Linked DNA regions of Drosophila melanogaster. The protein of the gene in region 1 interacts with the protein of each later gene in a biochemical or structural test. Each region holds a gene or a part of one and is shown on either strand. Other genes may lie near its edges.

What was found. Proteins that work in one complex are often made in the same cells at the same time.
Region 2: the proteins of 14-3-3epsilon (region 1) and Rip11 interact in far-western blotting, tested with the Drosophila melanogaster proteins (one study listed by BioGRID).

The regions. Positions count from the first base shown.
Region 1 is NT_033777.3:18,239,868-18,249,422, forward strand, and holds 14-3-3epsilon (14-3-3epsilon), read left to right. Parts: upstream 1-2,819; 5' UTR 2,820-2,978; coding exon 2,979-3,042; intron 3,043-7,565; coding exon 7,566-8,035; intron 8,036-8,103; coding exon 8,104-8,284; intron 8,285-8,347; coding exon 8,348-8,421; 3' UTR 8,422-8,712; downstream 8,713-9,555. Other genes in the region: CG7156 (uncharacterized protein), read right to left, coding at 25-243, 303-2,033, 2,096-2,191. UniProt on the Drosophila melanogaster protein: Positively regulates Ras-mediated pathways. Acts downstream or parallel to Raf, but upstream of nuclear factors in Ras signaling. Three mutants have been isolated, that suppress the rough eye phenotype caused by mutated Ras1 (sev-Ras1 v12).
Region 2 is NC_004354.4:18,643,684-18,649,161, reverse strand, and holds the start of Rip11 (Rab11 interacting protein), read left to right. Parts: upstream 1-1,594; 5' UTR 1,595-1,941; coding exon 1,942-1,972; intron 1,973-5,478. Other genes in the region: Nup35 (nucleoporin 35kDa), read right to left, coding at 1-646, 706-856.

The sequences.
Region 1 (9,555 bases):
TAGCAAAGCAAATAGTGCCTATTTTCACATGGACTCAGTTCCCTGCTCCAAAACCGCCTGCCAATCGATGCCTTTGAAGAATGGATGAGCCTGCAATTGGTCGTAGTCCAAACGTAGCTCCGGAGAAAGCTGCAGCAGTTGCTCCAGCAGATCCTTGGCATGATCGGAAATCTCCAACGACTCACTAGGATACTGAACACAACCATAGAGGTCCAGTTGCCCGGGATGCGTGACTTTGTAGGGCTGGAAAGAAAGCAGATTGCTATTATCCAAACATTTTCAATCGAGAACTCAAAACTTACAACTCCCAGCAGAAGCTGATAGAGCACCACGCCGTAGCTCCACCAGTCCGAGCGAAAAGTGAGCGGTCTTTCTGGTGCCACAAAGTGATTAGCCACTGCCTCCAAGTTCAGTGCCTTGTGCACATAGTTGTCGTCCGAGGTTAGACCCTCGTTCTGATAGAAATACGTCAGGAGCAGCTGTCCCTTGGCGCCCAGTAAAATGTTGCCCATGTGCAGATCGCGCAGAATAACGCCCTTGCCGTGCAGACTGTGTATGGCGATGGCCAGTTCGCAAGCCCACTGACGCAGGCACTGCTCCGGAATGGGTTTACTTCGGATGCGATTTTGATCCACCTTTTTATTTCTTTTGGGTGTAACGACTCCCGCTTGCAAATTGCTCAGCGTGTTTGTTACGGACTTTAAAAGCTGCTGGGAGCTGCGAACCAAATCGCTGACATCGCTGTCCGAAGTCAGAGGTGGCTCCTCTGCCTCCTTCTCCTCCGGCTCCTGGTCCGAGGGAAAAAGCTCTCCATAATTGACACTCTTACTACTCGTGGGCGTGTAGCTCTGCAGGTAATCGTACAACATGCCGCCCTCCGCCTGCCGCAGTAGCAGAAAAATCTTCTGCTCCGACTGAAAGTAGGCCAGCAGTTGGACCATGTAAGGCACCTGCTGGGGCAGAAAGATGCTCTGGGTCAGCGAGTGACTGGCCGGCTTCTCGACGCCCTTCATAATGGCAGCCGGCTGCTGGGATTTCGTCACACACTGCACCTGCATCACACGGTCCTGGAGAATCTGCAGCACCTTGTAGCGTGCCAACTGATTCCAGGGGCACTCCAAATGGCTCACGCTACCGCCGTCTGTCGTGTCCAGCGAGAGCTGGAACTGCAGCTTCTTCGTCGGACAATCGTTGGCCAGGAAATTGGCGTGAATCTCCTCAGCCCGCGCCAAGTATTTGGCTATCTTCGCCTTGGCTATAAATCTACGCTCCTCACTGCTATCCTGCTTGGCCCCATTGAGCAGCAGGTCCACACCATGCTTGTACCTCTCGTGGGCTTCGGCATACTCCAGGTTAACCTCCGCTTGGACGGCATGACTGAACTCTAGAGCCGCCTCATATATGTAGTCGCTGTCGTCGCTTTCTATGGAAGCCATGGGCGTCAGAAGGCGGAGATAATCCCTCTTGGTCAGCGCTACGTCTGTCTTGGGCTCCTGTTTCGTTTCTAATTCGATTTCAGTTTCTTTGGCCTGGGATTCGTTGTTCGTTTGCTCCTTATCACAGCGCGGATCTAGAGGCGTGATGCCCCCCGCGTCGTGTGGGTCATAGGGCAAGTCTAGTTTATCGCAAATGTCGGCTATGGCACCAGCGCAAGTTCCTGTTTCCGAACCGCCACTTCCGCAGCCATTGTCTTCCGTCTGCAGCCGCAGGGATCGCTCCACATATAGCTTCTTAAGTGGCGATCCGTTTGGCGAGGGTGTCTCCTGGAAGAACTGTGTGAAGGTTGAGCACTTGTACAGCGCCGGATGCTGCGCTGCAAAGTCTAATAATTGCAGGATGTACTCCTTACGCCGTTGGATGACTGCCGCATCGAATCTCTTGAAATATGTGCTATCTGTGGGCACTGGCAACTTGCCGGGTAGTTGGAGACTCTTGTGGCGCCGGCTAAGCTCGCGATGCAGCCGCTTGACATCGTGGAACCGTTTCCACACCACCAGGCAGGTCAGAGCTTGAGGTACCGACCTTGGGAAGACCTAAAAGTGGGTGAGGTTTACTATTTGGAACAGTTCATCTGCCCCCAAAAAAAACGACTTACAATCGAGGTGATTTTGTATATTGTGTACCCGCCCTTGTGCTCCTGGGTGTCCGTCACTGTGAAGCTGTGGATCCAGCCGCCCAGGTTGAGAGTCATTCTGGTTTCTGCTGCAAGACCTGGTGGTTTAGTTTCTAAACATATTTCCCATATCAAATGTCGTTGTTCCCCAACTTTTTTGCAACATTAAAGCTAGTGTGACCAAAGGACGCCAAAATAACCACTTCCGGACTTCGAAATTAAATAAGAGCATTTAGTAGCTTATTTTTTTAACTTAGAAGGATTAAATTAAACCATAAAAATATTAACTGTTTTTTAAACACTTTTATTTAAAATAAAAAACGGTCACATTTTAAAATTTAAAATTTATACTCTAATCGAAAGTATCATAAGTATCGATAGTCTGCAGTGCATGTGGGTTATGTCATGACTAATGACAAATTGAATTGCACAGAAAAGGTGGAAGTCCCTGCTAACGACATTGCTTCATGTGTTCATTTAATACAACATATTTATAGCTATAGCTTTTTTAAATGTGTCAATTTACTATAACATTTTAAAACTTCCGAATAAAAGCTTCACACAAACGGATTTTCACAAGTAATATCCAGATAGAAATACCATTTTAAAAAGAAATTTTTCCGATTTTACCACCATCGCTTGCGCATGCGCACGGAACGCGTGATGCGTTTTTAAGTCCGTCATTAGGCCATCGCCCATCAATTTTAGTGTTTCAACCGCCGCCCGATACGGTCACACCGCTCGAGAAGTAGAGAAAAAAGAAGGCGACGAACCACAGGCAGCAAGCAAAATCGACGCCGCACGTACCGGGAGCATTTAAATAATTTTTTCTGTGGATTAATTTTACCGAAAAGGCTTCAACACAATGACTGAGCGCGAGAACAATGTGTACAAGGCAAAGCTGGCCGAACAGGCCGAGCGCTACGACGGTGAGTAGTGATTCCGAAAAAAAATGGTAGCAAAAATGGTAGAAAACGGTAGACAAATGCTAGTAGAGTAGGGAAAAAATTTTCTCGACTGAGGAGCGCCAACGTTTTTGGGGAGGGGTCGCCTGGGATTTTTTTTTGTCTTCCCGATCCATTGCGTCGTCGCGTGGTCGTTGAAAAAGTCTAGAGCTCCGCTTTTCGTCCGAATGTGCCAATTAAAAGGTTTTCTTCCAGAGAAAACGATGGAAATTTTCAATTTTCATCGCTGTAGCTGCATTCGAAGCGACGCAGCGTCGCGATGAGTAGTATTTCTTGCGAAAAGAACGGGAGATGGAGGAAACAGTAAGAAGAGGAAGAAGCCGAAGAAGAAGCAGAGCGTCGGAAGAACGAAAAGAGATGAATAGAGTGTAAAACCTGATTTTTACCGGCAAAAATTCGCGTGGTTTTGCACAAAAAGAGAAAGAAACGGAATTGCGTATTATAATTTACAGCAAATAGTTTGCTCCGCTCTTTCTTTTTTGGAACTATATAGTATTAGTTTAGAAGGGGAAAATTTTGTGTATTTGGCGTTGCGAGCAAGGGCTGCGCGGCAGCTAGCATTTTATTTTCTTCCTTGGTTGCTAAGGGCTGTTTGCAGTTGATTCCAGTTCGCGTTCTTTTTTTTTCTTTCTTAGTAGTTGTCAAGGCGTAACTTTCTAGAAACGACACATTTTTTGGGGATTCTAGTTTCTTAAATACACTTATTCCACACCCAAAATCAATGATTGTGGGGCAGGGGTAGGTGCAGTCCTCTCTTTCAGACCCCCTCCCCCTTTTTTTCCACGAAATGTGCTTTTCATGCGCAGCAGCGGCGTCGTCACCATGCCGTTGCTGCGAAAAATCGATGAATGAATCGATTGTGTCGCCGGCTGTCTCCCTCTCTCACTTTCTGCCTATTGCTTAATTCTTTATTTATGCAAATTAGTTGCGGCTAGTTGCAAGCAGTTATGCGGCCACTTGGCAACCCTATCTGATAATGCGAAAAAAGGAAATATAAAATTTTTCTGTGCTTCTTCTGTTACTCTCGCATTACTCATGCTTATGCGCATGTATGCATGCGTGTGTGTGTGTGTTTGTACGGAGGTGTGCGTGTGCCGATGAGTGTCCGCCGGGCGGTTTTTATTGTTGCTTCTTCTGTAGCCTTTGCTTATATTTAATTAAAAATACTCCAATTAATTAAAAAGCCAGCTCAAAATGCAAAGAAAGTCGCAGTGGGAGGGGGACGGCAAATTCGGCATTTGCAAAAAGCGCGCGCTTAACCAATTGCCATAAACGCTGCGTGCGCCAAAACGAGATGGCTAGTGTGTCGAAGTGTCGGCGACGCTGCACAGTGGCTGTAAAAAGTTAACAAACATTTGGCGATTCCTCTGTCTGCCGTTCCTTCCTGCTGCTGTACTTGGGCAGCGACTATAGCAACAATAATTGCAAACGGTACTCTGCACCTAATTGCCTGCAAAACTGACAACATTAACGGGCGGTGGCGGCGGCAAAGAAGTCAATCAACTATTAGCACACACAAACAGGGCATACATGCATACATACACCACTGGTGGGGATATTTGTGTCTGTATCACATGTTTGTCTTCTTATTTTCGCCCATCGGTGTGCGTTGGTGTGCAGCACTTGGCGTTGGCCTTGTCACACTCGGACATTTTGCGGTGGAGCTCATGCTGGAGCACCAATACCATTGCGCGCGAAGAGAGAGAAAGAGCGCGGCGGAGAGCGAAGCGGAGCGGCAAAGCCGCCAGCCGGCAATGTCTGCGCCCCCAATCTGAACTTGCCTCGCCCTCTCCGCCCCTGATCTCATCTCCTCTTCAAACCCCTGCTCCCCTTTTCTGCACACATTAACGTCAGCCTTTAAGTGTGCTTTCTCAGGTGCTGCCCCCTGCGCCCACCATCCCCCGCTCCATGCTCTTTCCATCTTGCGCTCTCTGCGTTCTATCTACATTTTTTTCGAGGTCGCGCGCTGCTTTTTCCGTTGATGTTCGTTCTCGTCAATGTCGTCAATATGCGCAAAAGGCAGACAAAAAAAAAATGAGTGGAAAAAGTAGCATACATACGGTTGATTGATGGGCGGTGGGTGGCGGTGGTGTTAGGTGTGTTTTGTTTGTTGCTCGCTTTTTGCTCAAATTGCACCATTTTAGGGGCTGTTGTTGCTGCTTCCTTTGTCTAATTACACATTCTCTGCCCGCTGTAACGGTATGTGCGCATGTTTTTTCAGCTGCTGCGCCCTTATGCGACTCACACACACACACATACACACACACACAAAACCACGCGCACTCATACCCACACGAGCGCAAGACACACCCACAGGCGTCTCATAAGGGAGGGGTGGATCTCTGGGGGCGTGTTGGTAGGAGGGGGTGGAAAATCCTGCCCATTCCTTTTGCTCCCTATTTCGTCCCAATATTTCATTCCAGCTCGCGTGACTTCTTTTTACTTTTGGGTGGTGGTGGATTGCCTTTGCAGGGTTGTCGCTAGTTTATCAAATTCCAATACTTATTTCTTGGAAAAACAACACAATTGAGATGACCACGCTCATCTTTGCAATCAACTTGTTTATGAAAAAGATTAATCATTTTTTATAATAAAAAAGATGAATACTTTTCAAATGTAGTTCAACTACTCACGAATCTACTTAGAATCTATTCCATACTATTTTCGCCAAATTTGCTAGACTTTCGTGAACTTTGCACTTTCTACTGAAAGTTCATATGATTCGAGAAGTTTCCATACATTTCTTTTTACCACTTCGTGGTTCCGCAAATGATTTATCATGCCCGCGGGACTTGGCTCTTTATTTTTGGGACGCGTTTATTGATTTTCGCCTTGCTATATGTACATGATTTAGTGACTGGTCTGACGCGCATGTCTCATAATTGGTTGTGGATTACTTACTACTAAGCAACATGTGCTGTATACTTTTAAAGTTGCAAGGATCCCAGCCACCCTTCACCACCCAACTGCGCTCCCCCTCCCCTTCCCCCTCCCTACCCACTCTCAAGTTCATTTTTTATGCGTAACTCAGCATAGCTTGCAAGCGTTGTAAAATGCGTGTGCACATCATCATCCACATTGGTTTCAAACAGCCCGCCAATGCGAACAACAATGTTTGAAGTTCAATCACAGCCACAAATATTCGTGAATCATGCAACTTTATTGGCAATTTTTCACAAATACGTGCTACAACAAAAATCGCACTAATAAGCAGACAGTCGGCAAATGTCCCGATGTCTTTGTGTGTGAGTGCTAGTGTGTGTGTATGTATGGGGGTGTTGGTGTGCGAAATACGTCAGCAGCTGACGGGCAGCGGGTGCGAGCGAGAGAGGGCAGACAGTGCAAGTCAGCAAACGCGCTACAATTACAATATTTTGAATAGTAGTGTAGTCTAGCTCTGTATTGTTATCAGCCACCAGATATGCCCGAGATAGTTAGCCTGCAACTGGCTTTACCCAGACAGGCAGCACTGCAATGATAATTTAGATGATTTGGTTCGGAAATATCTTACATTTCCTTTGGTCAGATATCAAAAACTAATCTTGCATAATTCCAAATACTAATCATATGCCCGAAAAGCATTTAAATGAACTTCGAAATATATTTAGACTTCAATTGACTGACTCGAAAAAGGAAATGAAATGGCCAAATGATATCAGCTCTTAACCTACTCACTTTAATTTGATAAACGAGCTCCTTGTTTGCTTCCGTGTTGAGTTCCGAACATGTGATTCATGACGCAGTTTTAGATGGTGATGCAGACGCAGATAGAGATGCCCCCGATGGGGACGATAGGATTGGGTGCAACAATGTGGCGGAAGCCCTTATCACCGGCTGATTGGATGGCCCCGTATTGGTATTGGTATTGGTATTGGTATGACAGAACCAGCTAAATCAGGCGTAGACGCAACGCCACCTTATGCATAAATATATCTGCATAACTTATATATCATCGCGGATTGGGCGTGTCGGCGATAAGAAATGGAAAATAGGTAGTCTAGGCTGTCGCGAGGGGACAAGGACAAGCGGGAGGAAAGTCCAGATAACAAGCCTTCCATACCTTGGATAAATTTATCTACGCAAAATGTATATAATGTATGTATCTTGTTGGCTTTCCAATTGAAATGTTTGGTTTTTATTTTTAATCTTAACATGAAATATATGAAAGCAATTCAAAAATTATATGAACAATCAAACAAACATTTGTATTCTACGAAATTGTTGATAAAATAGCGTCCGATAGCATTGTTTAAACTACATCATAAACATTACTTCTTACTCACTCAAATGAAGTATTTGTTTAATGATGTATATTTTCCTTAGGCATTGCAGAATGAATATACATATATGCGAACTAATGATTAAACTAATCGTTAGTTAATGGGCAATCCCTTAAATTTGGTTTGAGATGTTACACTTGATTATTGTAAACATTTACTCTTATATACTAAAGACCACACCTTTCATTTGTTATGTCCTCTTTACAGAAATGGTGGAGGCCATGAAGAAGGTCGCCTCCATGGACGTAGAGCTGACCGTCGAGGAGCGAAATCTGCTGTCGGTGGCGTACAAGAATGTGATTGGAGCACGCCGTGCCTCGTGGCGCATCATCACCTCGATCGAACAGAAGGAGGAGAACAAGGGGGCCGAGGAGAAATTGGAGATGATCAAAACCTACCGCGGACAGGTGGAGAAGGAGCTGCGCGACATCTGCTCGGATATACTGAACGTGCTCGAGAAGCATCTCATTCCATGCGCCACATCCGGCGAAAGCAAAGTATTCTACTATAAGATGAAGGGCGACTACCATCGCTACCTGGCCGAATTCGCCACCGGCTCCGACCGCAAGGATGCGGCAGAGAACTCGCTGATTGCCTACAAGGCGGCCAGCGATATTGCCATGAACGATCTGCCACCAACACACCCCATCCGTTTGGGCTTGGCATTGAACTTCTCGGTGAGTGATTGTGAAGAGACACGATGTCGTCATATGTTTTCTATATATATATTTTAAAATCCTTGCAGGTGTTCTACTATGAGATTCTCAACTCGCCGGACCGCGCTTGCCGCTTGGCGAAAGCCGCTTTCGATGATGCCATTGCCGAGTTGGATACACTGAGCGAAGAGAGCTACAAAGACTCGACACTCATCATGCAGCTGCTGCGCGACAACCTCACATTATGGACGTCCGATATGCAGGCAGAAGGTAAGTTGTAATATCACATCCACTTGTTCGGCTCCGTTATTAAGTTCTAAATATTATACTAAGAAGTAGACCCCAACGCAGGTGATGGCGAGCCCAAAGAGCAAATCCAGGATGTTGAGGATCAGGACGTGTCGTAATTTAAGTAAACCCCCGCCCTTCCATTTAAAACACATTATATACCTTCTAAAGTAAATATAATACCATATAATATATATGCATACAACAACAACAACAAAATCAACAACAACACGACAACAACTTCAAGAACAACAACATGGAACCAATGCGGCAACAACAACCATAGCAGTCGATCACCACAACAGCAGCACCCGTATGTGTATCAACATATTTGCAACATGATAACAGCAAGCAAAGCAGCAGGAACACAAATTGTCATCCACAATAAACAGCATGGAAAACAACAGCACAAAAACAGAAAAAAAAAACAACTATCCAAGCAAAATGTTTGAAAATTGGGCGGCCTGGTGGGCGTGGCGCGGCTGTTGCTGCGGCCCAGAATCGAATCGCAACATAAAAAATTCGCGGTACTATTAAGTTGGCGTCGCTTCGCAATTTGGCTCCTTAACGTTAGAAAACTGCAACATCAAGTCTACTACATTTGAATTTTTTGCATTCGAGAAACCAAGCATTTTATTATATTTGAATAAATATTATATTTAATTATGAGAAGCAAAAACGAAACAAATAAAATTCATTTAAACCACAAAACACATTAAAGCACAAGCAGAAAAAGAACGAAAGTCGAAACACTAAACGAAAATTGAGAAACAATCACACGAGAGTAAATCACAAAGCAAATTTCATCGAGTTGGCATGCATTAATTTTTAAAACAAACTTTAAATACGACAGCAACACGTAAAATACAACTTTAATTTTAAGCCAATAATAAACGTGAGAACGAGGTAATAAAAATGAAAAACGATTTAATAAGCGCAAACGTAAAAGTAAAACATAAAGTCGAAAATGTAAGGAAAAAATACAGCAATTAATTTAAATTTAATACATGAATAAAACGTAAATGGAGTAAACGAAACGAAATGAGCAAACAGAATGAAAGACGCAAAAAGCTAAAAACTATATTAAATGAGAAAAAGGAATGTTAGTTAAGCGAAATTCAAAACGAATTCTTAAGCTTAAATTTGTATGTATGTAAGTGTACTGTTCAATAACACCGACACACCCTCACAGACACACACACACACGCGCAGACTAACACACACCCACCACCCACACAGACACCCATATTACG
Region 2 (5,478 bases), on another chromosome or scaffold:
ACCGACCTATCCGTGCAGCGCGACACGCCCACCATCACATTGCCGGCGATGATTTTTTCGTTGTAGTTCAGCGCCTTGTCGCTCTCGATGCGCGAGGAGTAGCGCACATACATCCAGTTGCCGTTCTGCGGGGCATGCACCACGTCCACAATGGTGCCGCAGACGGTGAAGTGCTGCAGCACCATGGAGCCGGCCCCCGGCGGGAACCCGAAGATGGTAACCCAAAAGTCGGATAGGCGCGAGTTGCCGCCCGTCGTCACGGATGTGCCCAGGCCTCCAGCTGGCGAGGCAGTGGCTCCAAGTGGCGAGCACAGTGCTCGCATCGAGGCATTGATGGCATTGGGCGCCCCGGGTGCGAACGAGTCATTCGTGTGATAGCTGCTCTGGTAGCTCTGGTTCGGTGACTGCAACTGCAGCATGCCAAGATGGTTCTTCTTCTTCGGGGTGACGGACTGTTCGCGCAGCGAGTCGAAGAGTCCCTGGGTGGGCGGTCCCGTCTGGTGGTGGCTGTGCGTCTGGCCGTGCGCGGTCGTTGAGCTGTTGGCGCCCACAGCCGTGTGGGCGCCTCCTTGGGCGGCGAACAGAGTGCGTGTGCTCAGAGCGGAGCGGTTGAGCTCGTGCGGACTGCTGCCGCCGGGCGAGGTGGCTGCGGGGCATGTGTTCATATAGCCAATGCGTACGAGCTGCTTGATGCCGGCTACTTACCGAAACTTATATTAGAGCGCCCGGTTTTCGGGGACAGCGTGTTCTTGTGCGGCGTTATACCTTGCGGATCGCCGAGCAGAAAAGGTGGCAGATACTGGGTCTGGTTGGAGCCAGGACTGTTGACCGGGCTGCCCAGATTCATTGGCTCCATATCGAATGCGAATATTAATTATAATAATTATAACGGCGAAAAACGAAAAAGCGTTGCATTAACAAGGACGCCACAGCTGTAATCGGTTAGTGCGACCAGGCTGGGCTGGGGTCGAAATGCTAGAGGTGGATGCCAACATCGATGTCATCGATGTTTTCGAAAAATCACAAACATCGATGTTTTTCAAAGAATCATCGATGTTTTTCCATCTTTACTGCGCATCGTAGGTTAAAAGTGTTTAAATTGTGAGTATAAATTAAATTTCCAAATTTTCCAATTTCCATTTATTAATAGCATATTGCAAATTTTCAGTGACTTGCTGGTGGTCTTGGCTGGCGTCGTGGAAGACGACACGTATATTTATGCATGTATGCATGCGTGCACCTGCTCGTATGCATACTGGCTTACTTTTCTATTGAATTACTTTTCTATTGAATTGCATTAATTAGTATATTTGATTTATAGGAGCAATTATTGGACCAGGGGCGGATAAAAACGTAGACGGCAATAAGCTTGTCATGTTTAGTTATAGTACTGCCTTTTTATTTAAGCAATTATAAAAAAATAATAATCTTTAAGTTAAGCAGTTAATTTTTTTGTTTTTATTGAAAACATCGATGTCCGCCAACATCGATTTCTCCACCTCTACTAAATACGCCGTTCTTCGCAGTCGCGCCGCGCAACTTGCACTTTTGCAGCTCCCCGACTGGCAGTGGGCACATTTCGTTTCCCCCAAACGGTCACTCTAGCGGCCACCTTTCAAACAACAACATCACGCGTCGCGTCTCCGTCTTTTTCCTTTTTTTTTTTACATTAGACTACACTACGTTCTCCTGGCGTTTCGTTCGTGTCGCGCGTGATTAAATTGGCAACTGAGAACAATAAGAAGAAATCACAGTGTGCGAGCAGCAACAAACACAACGATTAGTGTAAACAAAACACATCGACAACAACAATCCAAATTACAATATAGGCAAAGAAGAAGAAACGAAAGGCAGGACCTTCGCAGCAAGAGCGAGACAGCAAAGGATCGGGATCGGGAGAGAGCGTGAGAGTGCGACTTGATCAACGGGATACAGGGTGACATGTGGAGTCCGACGCACTGTAGTGTAACGGGTAAGTGGGGGCGAAAAGCGGGGGACACCCGTTTTAGTATTTGTGTTTTTTTTTTATTTTTTTTTTACGGCGAATAAATCGCATTAAAACTTAAACTCGTTTGTGCCGCGTGTGTATGGGTGTGTGGCCTGCGCCGTTGTGTTGGTGTGTGCTTAAAATATTGTCATGACGGTCGTGTTGTTCCTATTGCTTTTGCTGCAGACGTACCAATTCGAAATTTCACTTTTTCCCCACCGCGCGCTTCCTCCTTTTGCCATTGCCTCTTGCTCTTCCTCTTGTGTTTTCCTGACTCCAGCAATTGCCTTTTTATCAGGCTTTTCTGGCTGATAAGATAATTCCCTTGCTCGAATGCGCACTTACTCATCGCATTGCTAGAAAATTGCTCATGCTAAGCGCTCCCCTTATGTATTTGCATCGCCTTCCGCCCCTTGGCATTCCTTAGCATACGCCCATGGTGGCGCTTTTTTGGTGCCTCTTGTTTACCTTTGCCATTGTTTTCGTTTTGCGTTTTCTTCAGGGCTAAGTGTCAATGAGAAATCGCGAATTCCGATTCCAAATTCGTGACAAAACACAAAGCGCGCTCATTCTGCTGTTCCCAGTCCAGTGATTATGGAAACAAATAATAACTGAAAGCCAAAGCATAGATATTTTCATATCTCCAACATGGCCAATAAGACCCTTTAAGAAATGTTTTCCGCAATGTTAGTTATTGGTTGCAATAGTGGCCACTGGGCGGCCAAATGAGTAAATGAGTCACGAATTGTGGTTCAATCTAGAGCTGCGTGGAATTTACACAAATCAAGATGATAAATACACTGGGCTCCATTGACATGAACGGATCCAGCTTGTTGTGATCTTGAACTTGCCCCGCTATCAGTTAGTACGTTCTTTGCCTCAATTCGCTCGTTTCATTTATTTTGCATATTTGCACAGCGCACAGTGTTTTATTCCAGCAATTTGCGATTAAAACCCAGAGCCGTTGACGTCACGGCGAATGAGCAAACAAATCATCGCCGTGTGGCTCTCCCAAATTCGCCGAGTTTCGCCTTGTTTGTTAAGTTCATATGTACATATATACAAATGTACACGCACATAAATACACCTGTCAATATTTGCCAATTTCTTTGCGATGAGAATGAGATGAGCGCGCACGCTTTGGAAACAGCTGTTTTCGCTGCTGTTCTCAGGAGCACTCTGTTCCCTATCCTTTGAAATGCCATAGTGTTCCCACACAGAGAGAAATTGCGACTCAAAAGGATTCGTTTTTTTTTTTGTTGTCTCTTTTCAAAACGAAATACAAAACTATTAACTTATATATAGAATAGGCAATTCTGGACTGAAATATTTAAATTAAAGGCCATGTTTTTTTTTTTTTTTAATTATTGCACAGCTGCAGGCTTTGAATTCTACTTACCAGATTTGCTAGTTAAATTAAGAATTCATCTGAGTTTACCATGTTTACATGCATGTTTGCATGCCAGAGAATTTCTTTCACTGTGCTTTTTTCGTTTCCCCTGTTAGATCATCCAGCAAACACCTGGCGTCCCGCCCTCTTATTAATGGCTTGTTGTTTGGGGACCATTTAGTCTGGGAGAGTTCCTTATCGACTGCGAACTCCACCCAATTGGCCCATTGCGTGCCTTATTTTTAGCCGTAAATTCTTGGCCGCCACTTACTCACTCACTCACTCCACTCACTTACTCGGCTACTTACTCCAACTCGCACATCTACGGACACACCTACTGAATAAATGCCTAAAATACCTGAAAATGAAAATTCCTCAGCGGGAAATTGTGCAATGAGCGGCGGGCAGCCAAGCAGACCCAAACAAAACAAACGCCTAATTTTCCTTTTCATTTCCATTTTGGTTTTTGGTTTATGTTTGGCTTGCTTTTGCAACGCATTTTATGCGGTTGCAGTGAAAATCAGAGCGGACCAGACCGCCCTTTTTTTTATCGATAATGAATGGTGGCGGCACAGTGAATACCTGCTAACGCGGAAGCCAGGTACCAGGTACTATATAACAAACCTATATTTCTTGTATTTATACTGCTAAAAATACAATGGAACCGTGTGATACATACGTAGTAATCTGTTACACTTCTGAACCTTTTAAGCAAGATATTGTGTCGTTCGACTAAAAGATAGATATTCTAATTAAATTGAAAAATGATCTTTATGGCAGCTTCTACTGTATTTCCCCTACTATCACCGAATCGATAAGGAAATCAGTGCGATAAGAGCTGGAGCTGTTGCTAGAACTGTAGCTGGAGCTGGATCACCTCTGGTCACGTCAGCGGGCAGATGGCGTCTTGAGATTGTGTCCACTTCTTCCGCACCCTGCCCGGCGATGCCATCGTCCATGTGAGACCGTTTTAATGCGGCTCCATCGATGCACTTATGCGAAACAGTTACGTTCCATTGCTCGACCCATTTAGCCAGAATAGAACCAAACAAACCGAAGCGGATCGGATGGGATCGGGATGGGTCCGGGGTTTGGTCTTATGATCATGATGGAAGGGGGAGGGGAGGGGAGGGGATAGTGAAGAAAAACAGGTCTGGCATTGGATGGGATCGCTGGCCGAAAGTCTCTTCGCATCGCGGGTCTGCAATTGATTATTTTCCAGTTCCAGTTCTTGGCCAGTGGCCACATTCCTCCGGCGCTTGCCGAACCCCAGTCCCCAGTCACCAGTCCCCAAGCACCGAGCCCCGAACACCCGGGCACATCCTCCCCTGAATATTCATGCTGGGAATCTCGGATTCTTTGAGCCACCGGGGCATTTATATTCAAAACATGCCATGGCAAACAGAAGCCAACTGCAACTGAAATGCTAATCGCCTTTCGTTTGGGAAAACTGTGTTTCATGTCTTCTGCTGTCTGTTTTCCATTTCAAAATCGCACGGCTTCGTGGGTTCAATGCTTGCGAGAAAGAAATTGTTTATGCATAACAATAAAATGATTCGCTGTAAGATGGTGGGATCCCATTGATAGACCGTTTACTTTGATCGCCGCCTCTGTACATTTTCGCATTTTCGCACGATCCGCACACACCCACACACACATACGTATGTACATACTAATGTATGTATGTACATATGTGTGCAATGTTGCATTGCCTGCTCGATGTTGCAGTTGCAACATTAATTGTTGCTAATGCTTTTCATCAAACGGGATCTGTGCTGTAATGCGGGGCCATAAAGGCGAGGATTGGCCCCCAGTTAGGTGAGCTTGTAGCACGTGGTTAACCCGAGTTGAAACCCATAACCCTGAACTCCGCACCATGAACCCTTCATCTTTCGATTGGCGCACTCGTTAGGCAAGAGCCGTCCAAAAGTGAGTCTCGAGAAGAACTATCTTCCGAAATGGGAGCGCGAGCAAGTGGCTCATTAGCATGCGTGGTTGGATGCCCATGCCCCAAGGAGCATTGGCCTCGGCTAGCAGTTTGCTGTATGTATATACATATACTTGGCCACGCCCTCTCACCGCCCCCGAAAAAAAAAAAGAG